Cricetulus griseus: one gene and its partners. The protein of the gene in region 3 purifies or fractionates together with the protein of the main gene of each other region. This does not show direct contact. Links are inferred from orthologs where the notes say so. Each region holds a gene or a part of one and is shown on either strand. Other genes may lie near its edges.

Region 1 (6,016 bases), on a different chromosome or scaffold from region 3:
TCAGCATTTTCTTCTCTGCATTGCCCGTTCCCTCTGGAAACAGGTGAGCCTAACCATAGGTTTGGGGAGGATTCAAAGGTTCAGCTGAAGGACTGAAAGACACACCCACTGCCCAGTGCATGCACCACAGAGAAAGTAGGCACATGGCTCTGCCTGTGGTGTGATCAGGAAGGAAGGAAGATAAAGGGAAGACAGCAAACACAAGCCAGACAGAAACCCAGCATCTGTGGGGTTAGCAAAGAAGGGGAAAACAAGGAAAACGCTTGAAGTAGCTAGGATTGGGTCTATCTTAGTGTGCTAAGAAGTGGGGTGGCTCCAAATTTGCTTAATGGGGACACAGAGTTCTCTTTGTGGAGACTTTGCAATAATTCATCCACTCACAAGTCCACTTAGACCCTGTGTTTGGCACTGAGATTCCAGAAACTATAGATGAAGTCTCCTTCTTTCTGTCATGGTCCCAATCATCCAATTTAAAGTGACCACAGGAAAATCCAAGCCCTAGCATGACCAGTCTAGAGGGCACATTCCAAAAGCCCCTAGGTCTGTGAACTTTCTTTTTGTTTGAGACAGGCTCTCGGTATGTATGCCAGGCTGACCTGGAACTTACTATGTAGTCCAGGCAGGCCTCGAGATTATTATTCTTCTGCCTCAGTTTCCTGAGTGCTAGGACCATACATGGCTCCTGGGAACTTCTCAGTAACCATTGATGAAATGTCAAGTATAGTGTGGGAACGCAGTAGACCATGGGTTTGAACTACTAGTGCCAAAGCTAACTGGCATCATTGTTCTCTAACATTTAATGAGACGCCCATTTATATTTATTAGTACTTTGAAGAACTTGAGTCTTACCTTAGAAATTTAGCAGTGCTGTGCATGTTACCATTTGCTGGAGGTCCCCATGCTTCAAGTCTCCTAGGAGAGACCTCTGTTGCATCTCTATACTCACACTCCTAAGTTGGGTGCTCACACTCGTGTGACAAATAGCACGACAACCCCACGTGCTAGGGACGCTTTAACCAGATTCACATGTAGATAGTCTTCACACAAGTGCTTGCCCTGCTAACTGGGAAGAGAGATGACTAGTGAGAGGCTGCTGACCCAACCAACACACCTTCTCCTCAAGGAAGGTTGGTACTGAACACGGAAAAGATCCCCCCACATGTTTTCATTTTACACAGTTCTGTTTGGTGAATATAAGGTACTAGGGGGTGAAAAGGCTGGCCTTGATGCAGGCAGAGTGGCCATTCTGAAGCCGTGGGGCTTTGCTTAGGATTTTGCTTTCACAAGAAATCTTTTTTCTTTCTCTCTTCTTGTGGTTCTTGCTACTTCAATACCAAGGAAGTTGAATTCACTTATCCATCATGAAAGGGAAAAAATTAAAAAAAAAACAACAACAACCAACTATGATGGAGTTGAAACTAAAAAAAGGCAGGATGGGGGCTTTAGATGCTCTTTTCTGTGTCATGTGTCCCTTTGCCTACACTCCTTATTTCTATTTCTGAATTAATTCGAATAAAATGACTTTTTAAAATTGCATTTAATCCTCACAGTTTTAGGAAACATGTATTATTGTGATTGGCTGCTAAACAGATGAAAAAAAACCTCAGAGTCAGAGGGGCTAAGTCCAAGTAGTCTGCCAAAACAACCCTGCGAAGAAAAAACAACCAGAGTGGAACAGACACCAGAGCTGCCTCTTGGCACCACCACATTTTACCCAGACACACGAGGGCCTTATGCAACTAGCCTCTGACCTGCTTACACTAGTATTCATGGTGGTCACTGCCTTGAGAATATTCCCCGAGCAATCATTTGCATAGAAGCAAGAGCGGGAGAGGTTTGTTTTTGTTTTTATACTTACTAAAATCATACAACTTCAGTCTTTAAAACCGTTTGTTTACTAGACTGTCTACTTAAATGCCATAATTTGACATATAAGGAAATGGAATGGCTAACCCAAGTGCCATTGGCAGACTAGGTTCGTTGACTAGGGCCCAGCTCGCCTGAGAATACTCAGACAGCTCTGGAGACATAGGGGTCCCTAACAAAGCACCCCAAAACTTATAGAAGTCTCTTAGGGTTCCTGGGACAGGGCCCTGCTACACATTGCTGCAAGTCTTCTGGCAGGGATCTCCAAAGCCAATCGCCATTTGATCTGATACTCTAAGTCCCTGCAGGAGTTTGGTTTTCTTCTTTCATGCTTTTTTTGGAGGTCCACAGGCACTCGGTTTTTTGTTTGGTTTTAGATGAATCAACACTGTCAATAGTGGAGCTTTCTGGGCCAGGCATAGGACAGAAGGAGGGATGGGCGTGTCCTGGCTGTAACGTGCGCGGTCTGGCCATGGAAGGCGGGACTTGGCAGTGAAAGGCGGGGCCTGGATGTAGAGGGCGGGGCCTGGCCTTGGAAGGTGAGGCCTGGTCGTGGAGGGAGGAGCCTGAATATGGAGGGCGGGACCTAATCATGGAAGGCGGGACCAGGTCGTGGAGGGCGGGGCCGGGCTGTAGGGGCCAGGCGCGCGCGGCGGCGCCACACCCTCATTTCCCTCATTTCCTCGCGCGCGCCGGAAGTGGCGGTGCTCCGCGGCGGCGCGCCGGGCCGGCCAGCGCAGGGCGCTGGCCAGGTGTGCAGTTCCCCAGGGCGGCGGCGCTGAGCGGCGGGCGCGGTGAGTACCGCCCTCGCCTGCGGCGCCTCTGGCCGGCGGCCCGCCGGTCCCCTCCGACGAGCCCTCCCGGACGGGACGCAGCCGGGCGCGGCGCTTCCCTGACGTGCCCTCCCGAGTCTGGTGCGGCTTTAGGAGACTGCTGCTGCCAGAGATCGTTGGTTTGCGTGTCAGTTGTGTTTTGTTTTGTTTTGTTTTTTTTTTTTCTAACCTACTCGCCGTCGCCTCTGCTGAGTGGCTAAACTTTTTACTGTGGGGTTAAAAGCGTCCTCTGGCAGCAGCCCTCCTGGCTCTGACAAAACGGCCTCCTTTAAAAGATGCTCTTGGAGTAGGAGTCGGTGACCCCCAGAGCCCGGAGAAACGGGGGATTGTCAGGATGACCAGATAGTTTGGAAAATTCCCGCATTTCTGAGCAAGCGGCTGAGCAGCACCACAGCGATGCTTGTGTTTGTGGTGATGGTACTGGCAGCATGACAGTTAACTTGGTTGCAAATCTAAAGCTTTCCCTCTGAAGCCCTGTTAAATCTAGAGGTGTCTTTAGCCTGCTTTTGAAGTGTGCGTGTGTGTGCAGTGTCTTGATTGACAGTGCGTGTCGTTGAAGGCCCCTGGGCCTTTAAGTCCTTGTAGATTGATGCTGCCTTTTAAAGATTTATTAAGATAGCACCTTCGGTTTGGGAAGTGACAAGAAGTGTTTTATGGCAGGAACATTTTGTATTATTATCCGCTACTACTTTTTTAAAAAGTATGTGACTAAAAGAAAGCAAAAAGGATGTTGGATTTCCGGTATATGTGGCTTACAGGATTTGAAGCAAAACAGGCAACTTTAGTTTTGAATAATTTAGAGATTACCTTTTTTCCTTCTTCACTTCTTTTGTGGAGATATAAAATACACACGAAGTCAACAAGTGCATAAAAATTAACTGTATATAGGTCACTGACTTTACATGCTTATTACAGTGTTTCCTACTACACACATCAGATTGTAACTGTAGAACATTTCCAGAGTGCTCTGCTTCTTCCAAATCGGTTGTACCCCTGCCTCCCCATCTGTATTCTGACTTCTCTCCTCCACCTTAGTTTGGTTATTTTGAACTTAACATTAATGGAGTTAATATGTAGTGTTCTCAGAATATTGCTTGTGGAAGTCACTCTTCATGGTTTTTTTGGTATGGTGTCATTCGTATCGTGGTATGGTTGTTGATAGTTCTTTTGTAGTGTTCCATTGTGTAGTGTGACTGTTCTGTTCATGAGCATGTGTGCTTCCCGTTTTGTGTTTTATGTGTTTTAGGTATTAAGGATGTTGTGACATTCTTGTAAATATCTTAGTGAGTATGTGAATACATTCCTGCCAGATGTAGAATAAATGAGACATAACTAACACAATGGACTCTTTCTTGTAAAAATGTAACAGAATCTCTTAACTAATTACAACAGTAAAGGCTGGTTTTAAAAGTATAGCTATTATGAGTTAAGGCATGGTTGTGCACACCTTTAATCCCAGCACACAGGAGGCAGAGGAAGGCAGATCTCTGTTAGTTCCAAGCCAGCCAAGGATACACCCTGACACACTGTCCCAAAAAAATGTTATATTCATTATAGTTACTATGTACACTTTGTATTTGCACCAGTGACAATCTTCTCAAAGATTCATTACATTTAATTATCTTTTAGCCACAAGTCAGTTAGAGCAGGCCATGATAAGACTGTTCAGTTTGATAACAGTTAGGTAATTATATTACTCAAGCTAGTGGTTATTAAGGGAAATGTGGTAGCTGTCAGAGGAAATGAAGTACCAAAGGATATAGCTAAAAATGGATTGGAGAATCATGAGATTTCAAGACTATATATAGTTACTGTCATGCAACACAAGTACTAGGTGTAAGTATAAATTGAATTAAATTAATTATGAGGTTACTTTAGGATGTGAATTTATTTATTATACTAGTATAATATATAGTATATTTCCATAACAGAACAAAAATTACTAAACATTTGTAGGAAGCCAGATCATGTAATCTGGGAAAATACAAGAAGCAATTGAGTTGAGGATTTTTAAATATTAGTACCCTCAAGTTTGGAGAGGTAGTTTGCCTACTAAACACACACACACACACACACACACAGAGAGAGAGAGAGAGAGAGAGAGAGAGAGAGAGAGAGAGAGAGAGAGAGAGAGAGAGAGAGGAAGAGAGAGAGAGAGAGAGAGAGAGAGAGAATATCGATCCATCAGGAGAAAAAATATTGGCAAACATAAATAATTTCTGGTTTGTTTTTTTTTCCTCTATCTCAGAGAGGATCTGAAATACTACTTTTCAAAGGGCTCATGGAAAAATAGGCACCTGTGCTAGCAGATCCTGATTGCCGCTCTCCTACCAACTCACAGAAGATACCAAAAATATCAAGAAAAGAAGGATATTTCTCAAAGCAGAAGTGTATGAGTTTATGAGTGAATTGATATACCAAAATTCTTAATATTGTTGAATACACACTTAAATACTGTCTAATAAAATTTATGAACTGTGGAGATAAATACATAATTTTATAAGCTTCTAAAAACAATGTTATATGTATTTATAAAGGACTAGAAGTCAAGATTTCCCAACATTGTATGACAGTAGTGTAGTGTTCTAAAGAGCCTATGGTAACAGGGCATGGTCATGTAAGTGTATAATCCCAGCACATGGTAAATTTTGAAGATTATGAATTCAAGGCCAGCCTTGACTACATTAGGAGAGTCTGTCCCAGAAATGAAATCAATCAAACAAACAAAAATGCCCATAGGACTATTTTGAACTTGGAACCTTATCTTTAAACAAAATCATTTCACCCACATTCAGTAGAATATACAGGATATACTGTATCAGATTAAAAATTTGGGAAAAAAATATATGGAATTCAAAGAAAACAGTGAAACATTTCTTAGCTCCAAGTTGTAAATAAATTTAACTAAGAAATTTAAATGTAATGTTAACGATTTTTTAAGACTTTATTTGTTTGTTTTGTTTGGGGTTTTGTTTTTTGTTTGTTTGTTTTTGCTTTTCAAGACAGGGTTTCATTGTGTAGCCCTGGCTGTCCTGGAACTTGAGACCAGGCTAGCCTCAAACTCAGAGCTCTGCCTGCCTCTGCCTCCCAAGTGCTGAGATTTAAGGAGTACACTACCATGCCCAGCCTGAATTTTTAAGTCTTTAATAAACTGAAGAAAAATTTTAATTTAGCAGTTAGTCAGCTTTCCATTATTGTGATAAACTATTTGAAGTAAAAGGGAAAGGGTTTTTTCTCAAAGTTTCAGCTTCTGTTCACTTGGCCCTGTTGCTCTGGTTCTGTGGCAACATTGTCAACATGGTAGCAGAAACATGTGG
Region 2 (4,861 bases), on a different chromosome or scaffold from region 3:
AGTGTGGTGACTCGGTGTCCTTACCCTGGCCTGCTTCCTGCTGCCACCAATACCAAAGGCCACACAGACTCACTCTTACCTTTTCATAGACATTTCTTGGTCACTTCACCCTGCCAAGGCCCTGTCATCAGGGACCCCGCCCCTCCAGCCAGCCCCTGATCTCTTCCAGGTCTTCTACAAGGGATGAAAGGAAGCAGTGGGCAGGATGGACAGAGATGAGCTGGCCTCCATAGCTGCCCCCCCCAGCTCTCTCTTCCTCCTTACAAAATGTCCCTGTCCCACCATTGGAAGAGGAACTCAGTACCTGGATGGTACAGCATCCACTCCCCAGAGGGTCCCTCCTCTACCTGGTAATGCTGTGGTGACCTAGGTCTGTCTAGTAGAATTGTAGTTAGCTTGCAATCTGACCCTGGAATTAACCATTTGGCGGTAGGGTAAAATGATGACGTGTTGGCATGCTTGTGGTCCCATCATGGCAGCTCTGTGGCCAGGAGGACCTCGGCGCCTCAGCTTGCTCTTAGAGCTTATCTTTACCAAGGGTGTTATCAGCAGACAGGTGCTGGGTCAGAGCCAGATCCCCACTCATCGCACAGCCCATTCCTGACCAGATGCTAACAATGAGCCTGTGTGCTCCACTGGTTGGTGTCCCAAAGGCGTGCTTATCCCTTGCCAAGATCAAATTGTCGGCTGCCTTTCTGACATGTGAGACCACAGAGAAGGCTTGTCTGTCCCTCACTGGGGTCATGTGTTAGAACCAGAGACTGGACCTGCTGCAGGCCTTGCATTCTGGGGCTCTGGCTTGCTTTTGACAAAAACTTACACGTCCTATCCTGTGAACAGTGTGATGCACTCTAGGCTGGTGTGGCCTAGATGCTCTCCCCACCCTGAGGACCCAGGCTCACACAGCCCACCCCGGGCGCTGCTGCTGAGCCTTGTCTGTGAGTACAGGTTTGGGGACCCCATGCCCCCATCACTGTAACATACAAGATCTTAGAAAGGCTAGAAAGCAGAGTGGCCAGTGCTCTAAACATGTCAATCACAGGAAGATTTCCAGATGTTTCTTCTTACCTCTAAATGGAAGTATTTGGACAAAGGCTGAGAAGGGTCATTTTTCCGAATCTGCCAGAGAAAGACAAAAATTGAGGTGGCATCCCTCCTAAATGCCATAGTCCCATGTGGCTCCATACAGCTGCTTTCACCCTGACTTGTAGATATATGTCCAGAGCTGTCTCTAGACCCCAGCACCTCAGAAATGCTAGGCTAAGGGTCATGAACGAAGCTTGTTCTAAAGCAGAAAGTGTTTGGTTCAGTCTGAGTTGTCTGCCTATGACTTCACCAACTGTCATTCAGCATCTCTTCTGTCTTGTGTCATCCTCTCTTAAGACTGTAACGACAGGGTGGGGAGTTCTACCACACTGCTGTCATTGAGCCAAAGGCCTAGCTTTCGTCTCTGCTTCTGCTTCTTACTGGCTATGTGGCTTTAGGCAACTTACGCCATCTTCCTGGGCAGTGTTTTCCTAGCTGTGTGGTGAGGGGTCATGTCACAGAGCACAGCACCTGGGAGAGGAGCAACCCCATTCAGCACATCACCAGTATTTGCCATCTCTACAGATTCTAACACGATGGCAGTGACCATGATGACCTCATCAACATGGTCATCCTGAGGTGGCAGAGGGTATGAGACTTAGAGCTGGGGTTGGGGCTGATTCAGGCTCTCACTGTGCTGCCTGCTGGCAGTGTGATGCAGATGCTGAACCCCAGAGAGCCTCTACTTTTGTCACTGAAACAGAGGGTAAGTGGCCATTGGGAAGGCCCAGGAAGCAGGTCTGGTAAGCTCATTCACCCTGACCTGGGATAATGCTGTTTTTCCTCCTTCACAGGCACACATTCTGGCAGTTCCGCCATGAGAACCCCAAGACTAGAGTTGGGGACCCTCCGCCTGAGGGGCTCCCTGGCTTCAACAGTGGAGTAATGCTGCTGAACCTAGAGGCCATGCGCCAGTCCCCGCTTTACAGCCATCTGCTGGAGCCTGCACGGGTACAGCAGCTTGCAGACAAGTACCACTTCCGGGGCCACCTTGGGGACCAGGACTTCTTCACCATGATCGGCATGGAGCACCCTGAGCTCTTCCATGTGCTGGATTGCACTTGGAACAGGCAGTTGTGCACCTGGTGGAGGGACCATGGCTACAGCGATGTCTTCCAGGCATACTTTCACTGTGAGGGCCATGTCAAGATCTACCATGGGAACTGCAACACCCCTATCCCAGAGGACTAGGACCCAGCTCACCCACTATGCCTATGGGGCTCCCGGACATGGGGAAGGAGGAGTGACTCTGCAAGGATGCCCTTGGGATCCAGGTGCTGCAGGCCCCCCAGCTGTCCAGTCCCTGTCCAGTGGCCATCCAAAGAAGCTTAGCTGAGCACTGCTGGAGCTCAGGTTGTTTCCCTTCAGGGCATTGTGAAGGACAGACACAGATGTCTTCCAGGATGTAGCTGAAGATACAAAGGACAAGATTCCCTTGTCCACATCCTTTTGAAAGAACTGGCTTTTGCTAGACCAAATAAGTGTTTAACTTAGATAGGCAGGCTTCTGTTTTGTGAGAAGAAACAAGTCGTGCTGCTGTAGTCCCAGTGAGCACTGAGCCAGTGAGTCAGGGCTTTAACAAGTAGCCCAGAGTTTAAGCCTCCGAAGGAATGCCACAGTCCCACAATCTTTCCCAGGAGGCTTTGCACCTCCTCTCCAGATGTTCTTGTTGCTTGGTGCAGGCTTCGAGGGCAGCATCTCTTTAGGTAAGGCCTCTTGGGCTGCTAGGGAGCCTATAATAACCCCTTATTGTAGCACTCAGAGCTCTTAGCTCCCCCAGCGTATCCAGGAACCCATTTTCCCTTGTCTGTCCACCTCCTCCCCGTGACCTGGCTGTACTAAGGAATCAAATTCACTGTCAAAGAACAGAGATTGGCCATGCTGAGGCACGCACTTGCAAAGGGCTGGCCTATGGTCTCACTGGTCTCTGGTGTGGAAAACAGACAGACCCATACTTTCCCATGGCACTGTGCCAGGCCTACCCCTACAGAAGAGTGCACCATTCCTTTATTTGTGCTTATAATGGGCTCTGTAAGTCAGCTGTCCACATGAAGCCACCACAGGCCATGCCATACAGTCCAGCTCATGTCCTCAGGCAAGAAATGTTCAAGTCTCATTATATTTTCTTTCAGTTTCATTGACTTTTAAATTTCCTTTCACCACAAGTGAGAATAGCTAATAAATAATCTTTGAGAACACTTGACTCATGTTGTTTGTTCTATGATCAGAGTTTCCAGGGCCATGGGGGCTCTGAATGAAGACTGGAATCAATATCAATCAGAGGGCCTAAAAGGACCAGCAGGAAGGCCTGCCTGTGGGTGGCAGTGAGGTGGTATTGCTGTGTTTGGTTCTAAGTATAGAACCATTTCATTCTAGCTATTGGTAGATCCATCTGCTGCCGGCGATGAAGCAGCCCCTCTCTGAGTCCTGCTCCTTAGCCGAGACCTCCCAGCTGCATCTGTGCCCGGGGAGGTGGCACACACACGCCTTCACTAGCCCACTGCCGGGGCCGGTTCATCTGTTCTCCTGGCTACTTGATTTCCTATTTATAGCTTCTGGTTATTAGATGCCTGCTGTGTGCCGGGCACCGTCTTGAGGATTTATATGAGCTCTAGATCATATTCATGAAAACCTTAGCAAGTTCATTCCAGTTCTAAAACTTATTATGAAAACAGAGGTATGGATAGAGCTCTGTGTGTTGTTACTGCAGCTTTTTACTGTGCAAAAAATGTTGGAATTAGCTTGAAATTCTGACTAGGGAAGTACATAAATAATGCATTAGGCAACCAATAATGGAATATGTGAAAAATCATTTTAAGCAATATTTAGTGTTCCAGGAAATACTTACACTAGTGAGTAAAGAATACAAAACATAGAAGATTGTATGTATGTCCTTTTTATTTTTTAAATTACACATTTGAATTTATATGTATATGTATACAAACATGTGCATACATGAAGTACGTATGTGTGAAAAGAGGGAGATTCAAGAATAAGCCTGTTGTGTATTTTATTGATTTCAACTCCTCACACACATTAACAAAACACTTATCCCAATAGGGGGAAAGTATATTAAAGTCCAGGGAGTTTCTTTAACTCACAATAACAGCAGAATTTTTCATCAACAATTAAAGCATTTCCAAAGCTATAAAAGAAAAAAAGTAAGCCATATACTCAGAGCACACCACCATCCCCCACTTACTCTGTGCATGCGCGCAAGCGTGTGTGTGTGTGTGTGTGTGTGTGTGTGTGTGTGTGTGTGTGTGTGTATGTTGTAGGACAACACAAAGGACAAGTTTGTAGAGTCAGTTCCCTCCTTCTGCATTTGCATAATGTCTTAGTTTGGGTTTCTAGTGCTATGAAGAGACACCATGACCACGGCAACTCTTACAAGGAAAACATTTCATTGGGGTGGCTCACTTACAGTTTCAGAGGTTCAGTCAATGATCACCATGGTAGGGAGAATGGTGGCGTAGACAAACATAGTGTTAACTACATCTTGATCAGAAGGCAGCAGGAAATTGACTGAGACACTGGGCAATGTCCTAAGTGCAGGAAACCTCAAAGCCCACCCCCACAGTGACACACTCTCACCAACAAGGCCACACCTACTCCAACAAATAGTGCCACCCCCTAAGAGATTATGGGGGCTGATTGCATTCAAACTGCCACACATGCACATTGCACCAACTCCACATTTACTTTTGAGCTCACTCTCAGGAGGTTCTCTCCCGTCACCAGTGGCTTTGACCTAATGCCTCTGGTGAATGTAGAA
Region 3 (6,076 bases):
AGACACAATTTAAGATTAATAGTTGCAGTTCACAAAGACCAAGTCTTCATTCTCAAAAAAAAAAAAAAAAAAAAATAGTCATGCATTTTGAAACTTTTAGCTCAACATCACCAATCCCAGTCTTTGAAAGAAAGCAATGATGGCAAACATGTATAGAGCTGTATGAGTGACTTTGGTAAAAGAAAACCACTTGAGATTTTTCAAGATAATTTAGATATGAAATCTCAATATTAAATAATAGCCTACCTAGTTTGCTTTTTCCCTGCTCTTATCCCCTATACGCTCCACTATGTGTGAACTCTTAATTCATTTTGAGAATGTTCTCAGTTTACTACTCAGCAGTAGAGAATACAGACTAGTAACTGCTCTTATTTCCTGCTAAGTCATGAGTCATTCTGAAACTCTGCCATTATGTTACGTTTTATGATCGCAAAGGGCAAGTAGCTATTCCCTCAAACAAAGGAAACAAACTTGATGATTCTAGAGGTCCAGCAGTTACAATTCTAACAAATAATGTATAACAATTGGGGGGAGGGAAGAAAAGCAGAGAAATTCCAGTAACAATTTTATTTATCCCCCTAATTCTTACCATGGGAAAACCAGGAATCAAATGTCATTATGTCATATAAAGTTTATACTTACTTTAAACAAAAAATGTAACATAGTGTTAAAACTGGCTTTCACAAAGTGTTACAGCGTAGCTGCACTATGCACTAGTATCACAAGGCGCTAATGCAGAACGCTCTCTTATGCAGTTCCATTATGTTCTTACAAAAATAGAATTAAACTGTGCGACCAGACAAGGACTTCAATTACACTACTTGGCAAAAACTTAGTATTTCAATGGAGTCTATTTTCTCTTGCAGTTCAAAAGCAAAGTCAAATATCACATCTTTTTTCAAGACTCACAAAGATGATTCGGGCTGTTTTTTTGGCACGTTTTTAATCTCTATCACGACAGCAGGGAGGCTGCCTTCAGCTTTAGTCCTCCTGGGCTTCTTCTCTAGATTCTCACTGAGTTCTAAACAAGATATGCTAACTGCCGGGGTCTTGTCTGCATCCTTGGCAGAAAGGACTTGAGGTCGCGCCCCGCAGCACTGCTTCAGAGCGCACTGAGTTCTGCAGGCAAGTTCACATGGGACTACACTTGATTTAGAGCCCACGCTGGCAAATTCAGGCTGGATGGTGGTAGCATGAATTCCGTGATTGTGAAAAACATCCTTAATGGTTTTGGCCACCTGCATGTATGAGGTCGGGTCTTCACATTTTATGTGAGCAGTGGCGATGATTCTGCTTCCAGCAAGCTGCCAGACGTGTAGCTCATGAACTTCCTCAACGCCTTCAACGGCTCGGAGCTCTTTTACCAAATGTTTGATATCAATTTGCTTGGGAACGGTTTGTAGAAGGATGAGAGCAGATTCCTTAAGCAATGGATAGGTTGTGTAAAGAAGTATACAAACCATTATCACACACAGAGTTGGATCTAAGTAGAGCACCCAGCAGGGACCGGCCTCTCGAACCACCGTCTGGGTGCTGTTGATGATCTCTACGGAGGTTCTGCAGGGATCACGGAAACATGGGTTTATGCAGAAGTTGTCTTCAGAACAGCCCTGCCAGAAGAAGTAAAAGAGCAGGGCATTCACTACCACGATCACGGAGCCCAAGGCGTCTCCGAGGACGTGCAGAAACACTCCCCGCATGTTCAGCTGTGCAGCCCTGTTGTCTTCCGACTCCAGATTGTCAGGCTCCTTGATAAGATTCCCGTTGACTTGTACATCCACTGGGTCATCACTTCTGTTCTTTTCTGACTCTACAATGAAGCAATACGATTTTAATTAAACACATGGCGAGTGCTCAGACAAGCATCCTGTCTAGTGTTGAAGACGTTGAAACTTAAAAAGCACAATAAAAGTATGCTGAGAAACAACACTCAATGCTCAATGGACTGATAGTCTGGGCACTGCCAGGCCATAGCAGGGAGGACTAAACTGTGTCCTTAGGCAAGTTTCCTCATTTCCTCCCCTGCCCCTCACTACTGGGTTTGTAACCTGTAAACATTCTGCTGTACTTTTCTGACACAAAGAGAAACAAAACTTAAGGCCATCACTTAAGCCCAGCTGAGGAGATAAGCCCTCTAACACAGCTGATCTGACATAGCTCTTGTTAGCAGCATTAGCCAGACTGCTTGAGACAAGTGCTTATCATAAATATTATACATATTCTGTCTCTATAGAGAAGGTTTACAAACTGACAAATCGGCAACTGAAGGCTATTGCCAGGTGGCAGCGGCACACATCTTTAATCACAGCAGAGACAGAGGCAGGCAGATCCATGTTGAGTTTGAAGCCAGCCTGGTCTACAGAGTGAGTTCCAGGACAGCCAAAGTTATTACACAGAGAAACCTTATCTCAAAAAAACCAAAACAAGGCCGGGCGGTGGTGGCACATGCCTTTAATACCAGGGCTTGGGAGGCAGAGGCAGGCGATCTCTGAGTTTAAGGTCAGCCTGGTCTACAAGAGCTAGTTCCAGGGCAGCCTCCAAAGCCACAGAGAAACCCTGTCTCGAAAAACAAAAACAAACAAACAAAAAAACCCAAAACAAAACTTGGAGTCAGACGGGCACACCTGAGTAGTTTCATTTTCTTCGGAATAGGAGAAAACCTTCCCCATGCACCATCTGCACACGTATGTTACACACTGGAGAAGTTTAACTAACTGCCTCTTAGCGTGATTTCGCCAGATTTAAACGGCAAGGATCACAAAAAACGTTCACGTCGAACTTGGGCGGGGCCGGCTGGTCCTTTCTCACTCCTGCTCAACACTCACCTTCCAAATTTCAGCCAAGAGCACCAGTGCTCAAGATGAAAAACGCTCACTAAAAACCACAAGGGAAACAACACATCGCCATCATGATGGTCTAGCACCATGATTGCCAGCCAAAGCCCTAAGAGGCAGACGCGCAACGTGCCCTGGCAAGGTCCCTAACCTGTGATTTTCCGGACTGGGTGGTCAGTCCAAGGAAACACACACCCCGCCGCTCACAAAGGCCGCCTTTACCCAGCACCCACCCACAACACCGCCCCGCTAGCAACGCAGCATCAAACTTGTCCAGTGGGCTCGGAACCACCGCGCACCGGGGCGCGGGGCGTGGCACCAGCCTCGCTCGCCAGGGGGCGCCCTCCCGTCCCGACCGGACCCGACCCGACCACTCCGGCGCTCGCTCGCCCGCCCGCCGCCCCGCTCGCTCGCTCGCTCGCTCACCTGCCGGGTCCGCCTTGAGCCCGTTGGAATTGCTGCTGTTGGCCACCAGCGTGTTGGTCTCCTCCTGGTCCGGCGCCCGTCCCGGCGGCGCGCCCGCCTCGCCCGCGGCGCGGCGCCGCGCCTTGCGCGCGCCCTTGGCGAGGTGGCCGTGGCCGTGCGAGTGTCCGTGGCCCGCGCCCTGGCCCTCGCCGCTGTGGTGGTGGAACAGGCAGAGCCCCAGCACGTTGACCAGCAGCCCCGCCACGCCGACGCCCAGCACCACAAGCGGCTGCTGCATCTCGTGCGGCTCGATGAAGCGCTCGACGGCCTCCAGCAGGATGGCGAAGCACAGCCCCGTCAGGAAGATGGCGTTCACCAGCGCGCCCATCACCTCGGCGCGGATCCAGCCGAACGTGTTCTTCTGCGTGGCGTGGGTCCTCCGGGCGAAGCGCTCGGCCACCAGCGCCACCACCAGCGCCAGCACGTCCGACAGCATGTGGAAGGAGTCGGACAGCATGGCGAGCGACGCGGTCACCCGGCTCACCACCACCTCCAGCACCATGAACATGAAGGTCAGCAGCAGCATGCACAGCAGCCGCCCGCGGTTGCGGCCCCAGCAGCCCATGGCGGCGGCCCGAGGCTCGGCTCGGCGCGGCGCTCGAGCGGGAGCCGGAGCGGGAGCCGGAGCCGGAGCCGGAGCGGCGCTGTGGGGAAACCGCCGGCCGCGCAGCTACTCCGGCGCTCGGCTCGGCTCTGCGGTGGCGTGGCGGGCGGCGGCGGCGGCGGACGGACTAGGCGAGGGCGCGGCGGGCGGGTGACTGCGCGCCGAGGGCCCGCCGAGCATCGGACCGAGGCGCTCCGGAGACGGCGTCCGCGGCGACTGCGCTCGGCCCGGCGGCGGCCGCCTTCTTAACCCCCCCGCCTTTGCAGACGGTTTACAAAAAAACTTTGCTTTGCACTCGGAACCCCCGTTTTCACACGGACCCGAGCGTGACAAGGCCCCGGGGCCCCGCCCCCCGGCCCGGCTCGCAGCCTCATTGGCCAGGACGGCCTCACGACAGCCGCGGCGTCCCGCCCCTCCGCGGCCTCTATTGGCTGGCGCGGCCGAGGGGCGGGAGGGGGCGGGGCGAGGCCGCGGGAGCCGCGGGCGGGGCCTGTGCTCTGGAGAGCCGGGCGTGGGCCGGGGCCGCGGCCGGGTGCAGCGGCGGGCGGTGCGGGGGAGGGTGGGCGCGGGCCGCGTGCAGCGGAGGGGCCGGCGGCAGGGCGGCGGCGCCGAGCCCTGGGGCGCAGCGAGCGCTCAGCGCTTCCCGCTTCCCGCGCCGCGGATTCCGGGCTGCGGTTCTGCCGCGCCCGCCCTAGACTTTGATCCGGCGATCCGGGTGATCCGGGTGCACGTGGGGGCGGCTGGGTGACAGGTCGGCGCCCGGGAGGGGCGGGGAGTGCGGGCCGTGCGGGCTGTGCTGGCCGGCGGGGGCGCGGCCGGGCGGGGAGCTGAGCTGGGGACTGGCTTGCTGGCGGCCCGACCGCAGCCTCGGGAGCAGTTTCCATCCAGCGGGTCACCCGCAGGGCCACCTCCCCGGGGGAACCGTGTCAAGTCAGGCCTGTCTGTCACTGAGTCTCTAAGGTGTGGGGTGCAGACTTGGGGCGGGAGCCTGCTGCGTGACTTGGACGGGTCACCTAATCTCGCCACACCTGTTTCTTCATCAATGGAGGGAAGGGCTGGGCAAGTGGAACTCCTCTTCCTTCTAGCTAAAATTCCAAGGCTCTGTGATTTCACACTATTTATCGGCTACAAACCTCCGAACTCTTGTGTCGGCTGCTTGGAGGGGGAGGGGCGGCCAGAATACAAAAGAAAGGTGGCAGATAAGGTACTACGAACCAAAACACCCCTGCTAAGTTGGGCAAAGACTCGTTGGAGTTGGCCCTCTAAGTGAGTGTGTGTGCACATCTATGTGGTTAAAGGTCCCACAGAGAGGTGGCTATCAAACCTGAGGAAGGATTCCCTGGATGCTAGTCTTTGCATCGGGATGTGCATGGCCTGTGTTCTTTTGCATAAAAAAAAAAAATTCTGCTCTTTGGCTTTTCGAGAGAGGGTTTCTCGGTGTAGCCCTGGCTATCCTGGAACTAGCTCTTGTAAGCTAGGCTGGCCTGGAACTCGCAAGAGATCCGCCTGGGCTCTGCCCCCAGAGTGCTGGGATTAAAGACGCCACCACCGCCTGCCCGGCAGCAATTCTGATTCCAAGATTGCCTCTCACTTGTACAAGATGTTCTCATGGGCGTCCTTGTCTTCTCGGTCTCGCTGAAAAGGGAAGCTTGGAGAAAGGTTTCCAACACCATAAGGGCAGAAATGGCAGAGCCTGGTGAGTAACTGGGTGTTGGAAGGAAAAAGCTAAAGGGGAGAAATTGACAGAATTATGTTTCGAAACCGGTGAGAGAAATGCTGCCTTAATCAGTATTTTATTGGATGGGGAATGGGAGTGAAAGCTGGGAATGTTCACACAAGTGGGAACCACAGCTTCAAACTTCCTTCCAGCTGCCTAATAGAAATTTAAAATTGGAAGCCACTTACAGTTAAGGTGTCCTTATGTGTCTGACTGGTCATTTGTGGGCCATTTTGCTTCCTAATGTGGCCCTTTATTGATGTATTCCTTTAGAGCAGTGGTTCTCAACCTTCCTAACACTGTGAACTTTAATACAGTTTAATACAGTTCTTCATGTTGTGCTGACACCCAGCCATAAAATTGTTTCTGTTGCTACTTCTTAACTGTACTCTGGTACTGTTATGAATCATAAATGTCTGAGTTTTCTGAGGTCTCAGGCAGCCCCTGAGAAAGGGT
Region 4 (5,545 bases), on a different chromosome or scaffold from region 3:
CTTGTGGTTCTTCAAGAAGTAAAGGAAGCAGCTTTTGTTTATTTCTCTGTAGGTAGATAATGCACACAAGGACAATGGATTGGAAAGGGAAGGAGTAACGAGGTGGACTTTAGTTGGGCTGAGCCAGGGCTATGCCTCAGCACTGTCGAAGTGTATGTCCTGAGGTGGTGACTGACGGGAGCCTGGGAACTTAACAGAGATTTTGGTTGATCTATTTTAACCATCCTCTGGAGCCTCCATATTGAATGTATTCCCATATAATACTGTGATAACTAAAAATCATTCATCCTTCTATGCTAGCCTCTGCTTAAAGGGCCCAAGTAACAAACAGGAAGTTCTCACAGATTCCTTTGCTTCATCTCATCTTATTGGGTTTTTAACATGCAAATAAATGTTATTATCGGTTTGCAGTAACTATTTTGCTTCCCCTTTAAATTTTAGTCTCTGCAAAGATATTTCTTTTGAAACTTAGTTCTGTGATTTACAAAGCAATGCTTGACAAACCATCACCTGGGTCAAACATCTATTACAGGGGTCTTTAAAAGTTCACACTTAAAAATTGACATGTGCTCACCACTCATAAGTATATTTGGTGAGATGACAAGAAATTGGAAAAAACACTTAAATTTTCATTACCAGACATCAATTGTACAAAATAACAGGTTTCATTATGACATTACTAAGACATGAGCTTTGCAACCAGAGCCCATGCCAGCCGGGATCTCTACTGCCCATGTGTACTGTGTACTAGGTTCCGAACAATCAGGCTGACTTCAGATATTTGCAAAAATGAGTAACTTTGGCTTAAAAATCTCTTTTCTAGACAATTATATATAAGACACCTCAACCTATAGGAGAAGTATATTTTACAGAAACATTTGACAGTGGAAGGCTGGCTGGGTGAGTACTCCTGCAAGAGCACATTTTCTTCAATTTGATGGGTTTTCTGAAGCTATTAGTCTGTGAGAATTAGCTCTCCTGTGACTGTGGAATAATTTAAAGCTATGAATTTATACAAAGACAGACACAAATTCAGAATGCAAAGGAAGCACATGGCATTTCCTTGCTCTCTGGGGTAGATATTGTGGAGATTCACAAGACAACTGAGTTATGTTCAGCCACAGTGATGGTATGCCTATCTGTAGCAGTTAACACCCGTTGACTAGTATGCTCCAGACCCTCTGCTGGTGGTTCAATATGTACTCCATTCCCTCCACCCCACGGGAGTTTACTCCCACACACATACTCAAGAGCAGATTCCGTGCCTCCTGGGATTGTGCAAAGGCTAGATTTACCAATTAACTTCTTGGCACTAATTCATTTTAAATAAAAACTGATTATGTTGGGTGTCTTTTCGTATTTTTTACATTCATTTTATCTATAAATTGCAAATCTTATTTCAATGGCAGTATCTGTCTTCGCCTTTACTTACAGGTGGGTCTTGTCAAAAGCAAAGAAGGATGACATGGATTCAGAACTTTCCATGTATGATGGTAAAATACTTACTTAAATATTAGATAACAATAACTCATGTTCACTAGCCTTTGAGATTATATTTTTGTTAAATTATGTTGGCCAGAAGGACCAGCCAGCTGTCACAGGGAAATGTTCAATTTTACACCCTGTTCCTCTTCAGTGTTTCAGGGATTGCTGGGTTGAGCCAGTTTTCTGATTCTTAAATTGTAGTTGGACTTTGACCCCAGGGTGTTAGCTTGCACTGCTGTTCTGGGTGATTCACCCCAAGCCTGGGCACTCATAGATCAAGAGCAGAGTTGTTAATGAGCACTATAAGATAGTGGCCACCTCTGCAGCCACAGCCTCAAGCCTTGACCATCATCCATAGGACTCCTGATGGGGCTGCTTCAGGCGTGGCTGTGGAAGTGACTTTCAAGGTCATATTTTCTTCCCTAGAAAGACCACCTTGGGCCGGGTGGTGGTGGAGCACACCTTTAATCCCAGCACTTGGGAGGCAGAGGCAGGCAGATCTCTGTGAGTTCTAGACCATCCTGGTCTATAAGAGCAAGTTCCGGACAGCCTCCAAAACCACAGAGAAACCCTGTCTTGAAAAAGAAAGGAAGGAAGGAAGAAAGAGAGGCTGAACGACCACCTTGGAGAATGACAAAAGAATGTCTCCCTTCTGGTCTAAAAGCGTCATGTAACCTCTGCTGTTGGGAACCAGGAGGGGAACCCCACTGTCTAGGAGTTCCTCACACCGTTAAGCATAAATAAGGCCTAGACCTCAGATTCAGCAGGTGGTCCCTTCGGAGCATGTGCTAGACTTGAGTCGTCAGTGTCCTTCTTACAGCTTCTGTAATTGTGTAAGATGGAGACCATGCCCACCTGTCTCCCTCTATACAGCATGTTTTCAGTCCCAGCAAACAAATTCCTCCTGCCACCATGTGTGTATACTCCACATGAGACCATGTGTGGACCAATCTAAAGCCACTTACAAAATTCTTCCCATCAAAGAAACAATGAGTCCAAGGGATATAATGCTAAAATTGATCTAAATAAGCCTAGTATTGCTAAAAAAAAAACCAGAATGTTTGATTTAAGCAACTGTGTTTAAGCACTTCACAGTTGTTTTTTGTTTTGTTTTGTTTTTTTAAACCAAGTAAAATATTCACTTTAGAAAAATAAAAGATTAGGGTATGCTTTAAGGAAACCTGCAAGCATTTATTTTATTTTTAAGATGGGTCTTGCTATATAGCCCAGGTTTCCCTAAATCATGTCATCCTTCTGCCTTAGCTATCTGAGTGACAATGTGATTACAGGTATGTACAACAATCCCAATAGTGTCTACAAATGACAGACTAAAACTCAAGCTGCTTTGATCATGAGACTTGTGATAGTTTCATTGTTTTTAGAAAGAAAAAAGCAGTCTAGAGCATTAGTGATTTAAATGTGCCTGTAAAATAATTGTGAGTTGAAACATTATAGCAAAATAACCATCTTTTGCTGGATTGAGTTTAGTTAGAACAGACAAACATAATTTTCAAACATATAATTTTGAAATGAACATAAGTTAATTTTTTCCCCTGTTTTAAAAGAGTGATGCCCAGCACAGAACTCTGGGGCTCCAGTTTGCCCACCTGGCTCACAGCCTGTGTAACCCACGGTCTCACCCACTGCAGGAACACAGCCCAGAGCCCTAGCTTGATTTGCTGCTTGCTGGCTTAGTGCTTCTCTGGGGTGTCACTGCTTCCTGGCCCAAAGCTCACCCAGCCACATGGCTTAATAGGGAAGGGTTTGTGTGATGAGATAGTCTTCAAATGCAATTTAAGTACCTACAGAATGCTATGAGAATCCTTGAAGAGTGCATGCATTTCCTAGTAAACTCAGCCCAGGGACAGACTGCCCACTTTGTGTTAAAGATGCACATTGTCTCATACACATTTTTAACGATCTCATTTTAGTTTCATTTTTTTTTTCTCATTTTAAGTGTCTGGACAAGGCAAACTTTGCTCTTGGTCAAGAAGGTGCACTTGGAAGAGCAAACCCACACACAGGAAGTACACTGGCTTTTATATCTCATTTCTTAGAGTCAGCATTGATAGTACTTATGAGATAAACCATATTTTATCATTTATTTTACTGAAAATATGTCAAGAAAACCTAATTGCATCTATTGTAGAAGTGTACCTTCTTCCAAGTTTGGCCTAAGGAAATGAAACCAGTTTCTGAAAAATGACAAGAAAGAGGAAAGGGGGTTGTCAGGGAGGAAAGGGTGAGACAGGAGGGGAGATGAGGGGGGAAAAATGAGAAGGGGAAATGAGGAGTGGGTGGAAAGAGGGGGAAAGGAAGGGGAATACAAAGAGCAGGTACTATTTCCTGATGTATTCTTCAGTTCTCATGGCAAAGATCACTGCTAACAACTGCTGAGCTGTGGTTTTCTGGGTCTTCTGTTTGACTCACTTGTTTTGCTTTCTCATTTAGGAAGATGGGAAATAGAAGAGCTGAAGGAAGACCAGGTCCCCGGCGACCGAGGCCTGGTTCTGAAGTCTAAAGCCAAGCACCACGCAATATCTGCCGTCCTCGAAAAACCCTTTATTTTCTCTGATAAACCTTTGATAGTTCAGTAAGTGTTAAGACTGAAGTGTTAATTTGAATTAGTTTGGTATCATTTGGCATATGAATATGTGTTAGTTTTGGTGCTGTGTACAAAAAAATCCCCACATTTCCCTTTCCAGGTTCTTAGACAAATACACCTATACATAACCACACCCTGGGCCTTGGGGGCAACCAGCTCAGTGGTAAATTCCATGTCACATGTCTTATATGCACAATTCTGTCACCATAAAGTACAGTGAAGCCACTACTTTTATCTTAGTTTTTCTCATTCCTTGCTGATAAGATAGTCACCTCAGGACATTCAGAAAAGAACCACAAATATGGCCAGTTTACAGTTCTGTTCATGCCTAGCCACTCAAAGAAGCAGATTGAGTCTACAAGAACTGTGTCTGCAGGTCAGGGTCATTCAAGCTGGGAGCTCTCTTAAGAGCCCCATGCTGTCAGAGACTTCTCTTCTCCTGCACAGACATGTAAGCCATGTGGCTTGCATGTGTACTGCCCTGAGGTCAAGTATAATTCCCCAGCTTTCTCTCATCTGTAGGGCTGTGAAGCCAAAATGAAGTTCGTAAAATAAAGGCATTTGCATGTGTTACTGGTAAGTTCCATTGTGTCTGGAACTACCGCAGGTTAAAAAGTGTCCTACAGAAATAGCAGTAGTGCCTGCCAGCCCCCAGACTCTCAGTTCTCTGCCAACCCAGTGAACAGCATTCCTTCCTGGGATTAGCCTACTCTAGATGAATCCATTTCAGTGGCTGTTCAATACCAAGTAAAGACAAGGAGGGATTCCCTGTTACCTGGACTAATTAAAATAACATTACAAAAATTTAGTGGGACCAGTATCCACGTGGGTATTATTACTAATTTTAGGATTTGGTCTGATTTTTGTTTTGCTGATAACTTCTTTCCTTTTTCCTTTTTCCTCTCTGTGATATGTGGAGGTGGCAGGGGTCAGGGGCGTTGAGTGCAATTGTATGTGTGTGTGTACATATGGAAGCCAAGCCCAAGGTTAATGGTGTGTGTGTGTGTGTGTGTGTGTGTGTGTGTGTGTGTGTGTGTGTGTGTGTGTACTTGTGCAGGCCTAAGGCTGATGCTTGGAAAATCATCCTTGATGCAATTCTACCTTGTTCACTGAGACAGTTCTCAATCTATATAACATGTCTTCCTAGCCAGCTTGCCTGGTGAATCTCCTGCCTCCACCTTCTGAAACTGGAATTACAGGCTGGCCTCTGTGTTCACCCAGCATTTTACATGGGTTCTAGAGATCTGAACTCTGGTGTCAAGCACTTTAACTACTGAGCCCTCTCCCAGCCCTTCCTTGAGACTTACTATTATTTTCTTAAAAGTTGGGTGTATATAGCATCACTTAATGAATGTACTCTTGGTTTGAAAAGGGTTGGACAGGAAACCAATACAAAACTCATGTAGTGTTTCCCTGGGAGTCACTGATAAGAAAATGATGTCTTGCCAGATAAGA

Evidence for each region.
Region 1: the proteins of Slc30a1 (region 3) and Csgalnact2 purify together in Homo sapiens (co-immunoprecipitation; 3 studies listed by BioGRID and IntAct, counting the BioPlex papers as one, with this or other methods). This does not show direct contact. The link is inferred for Cricetulus griseus from reciprocal best matches to the Homo sapiens genes SLC30A1 and CSGALNACT2.
Region 2: the proteins of Slc30a1 (region 3) and Xxylt1 purify together in Homo sapiens (co-immunoprecipitation; 3 studies listed by BioGRID and IntAct, with this or other methods). This does not show direct contact. The link is inferred for Cricetulus griseus from reciprocal best matches to the Homo sapiens genes SLC30A1 and XXYLT1.
Region 4: the proteins of Slc30a1 (region 3) and Clgn purify together in Homo sapiens (co-immunoprecipitation; 3 studies listed by BioGRID and IntAct, with this or other methods). This does not show direct contact. The link is inferred for Cricetulus griseus from reciprocal best matches to the Homo sapiens genes SLC30A1 and CLGN.

Annotation. Positions count from the first base shown.
Region 1 is NC_048601.1:26,763,462-26,769,477, forward strand, and holds the start of Csgalnact2 (chondroitin sulfate N-acetylgalactosaminyltransferase 2), read left to right. Parts: upstream 1-2,540; 5' UTR 2,541-2,660; intron 2,661-2,710; exon of another isoform or gene 2,711-2,826; intron 2,827-4,958; exon of another isoform or gene 4,959-5,089; intron 5,090-6,016. UniProt on the Homo sapiens protein: Transfers 1,4-N-acetylgalactosamine (GalNAc) from UDP-GalNAc to the non-reducing end of glucuronic acid (GlcUA). Required for addition of the first GalNAc to the core tetrasaccharide linker and for elongation of chondroitin chains.
Region 2 is NC_048597.1:58,501,525-58,506,385, forward strand, and holds the end of Xxylt1 (xyloside xylosyltransferase 1), read left to right. Parts: intron 1-1,880; coding exon 1,881-2,277; 3' UTR 2,278-3,289; downstream 3,290-4,861. UniProt on the Homo sapiens protein: Alpha-1,3-xylosyltransferase, which elongates the O-linked xylose-glucose disaccharide attached to EGF-like repeats in the extracellular domain of target proteins by catalyzing the addition of the second xylose.
Region 3 is NC_048598.1:3,154,039-3,160,114, forward strand, and holds the start of Slc30a1 (zinc transporter 1), read right to left. Parts: upstream 4,207-6,076; 5' UTR 3,865-4,206; coding exon 3,261-3,864; intron 1,811-3,260; coding exon 906-1,810; 3' UTR 1-905. UniProt on the Homo sapiens protein: Zinc ion:proton antiporter that could function at the plasma membrane mediating zinc efflux from cells against its electrochemical gradient protecting them from intracellular zinc accumulation and toxicity.
Region 4 is NC_048596.1:159,040,398-159,045,942, forward strand, and holds part of Clgn (calmegin), read left to right. Parts: intron 1-823; coding exon 824-900; intron 901-1,434; coding exon 1,435-1,493; intron 1,494-3,936; coding exon 3,937-4,078; intron 4,079-5,545. UniProt on the Homo sapiens protein: Functions during spermatogenesis as a chaperone for a range of client proteins that are important for sperm adhesion onto the egg zona pellucida and for subsequent penetration of the zona pellucida.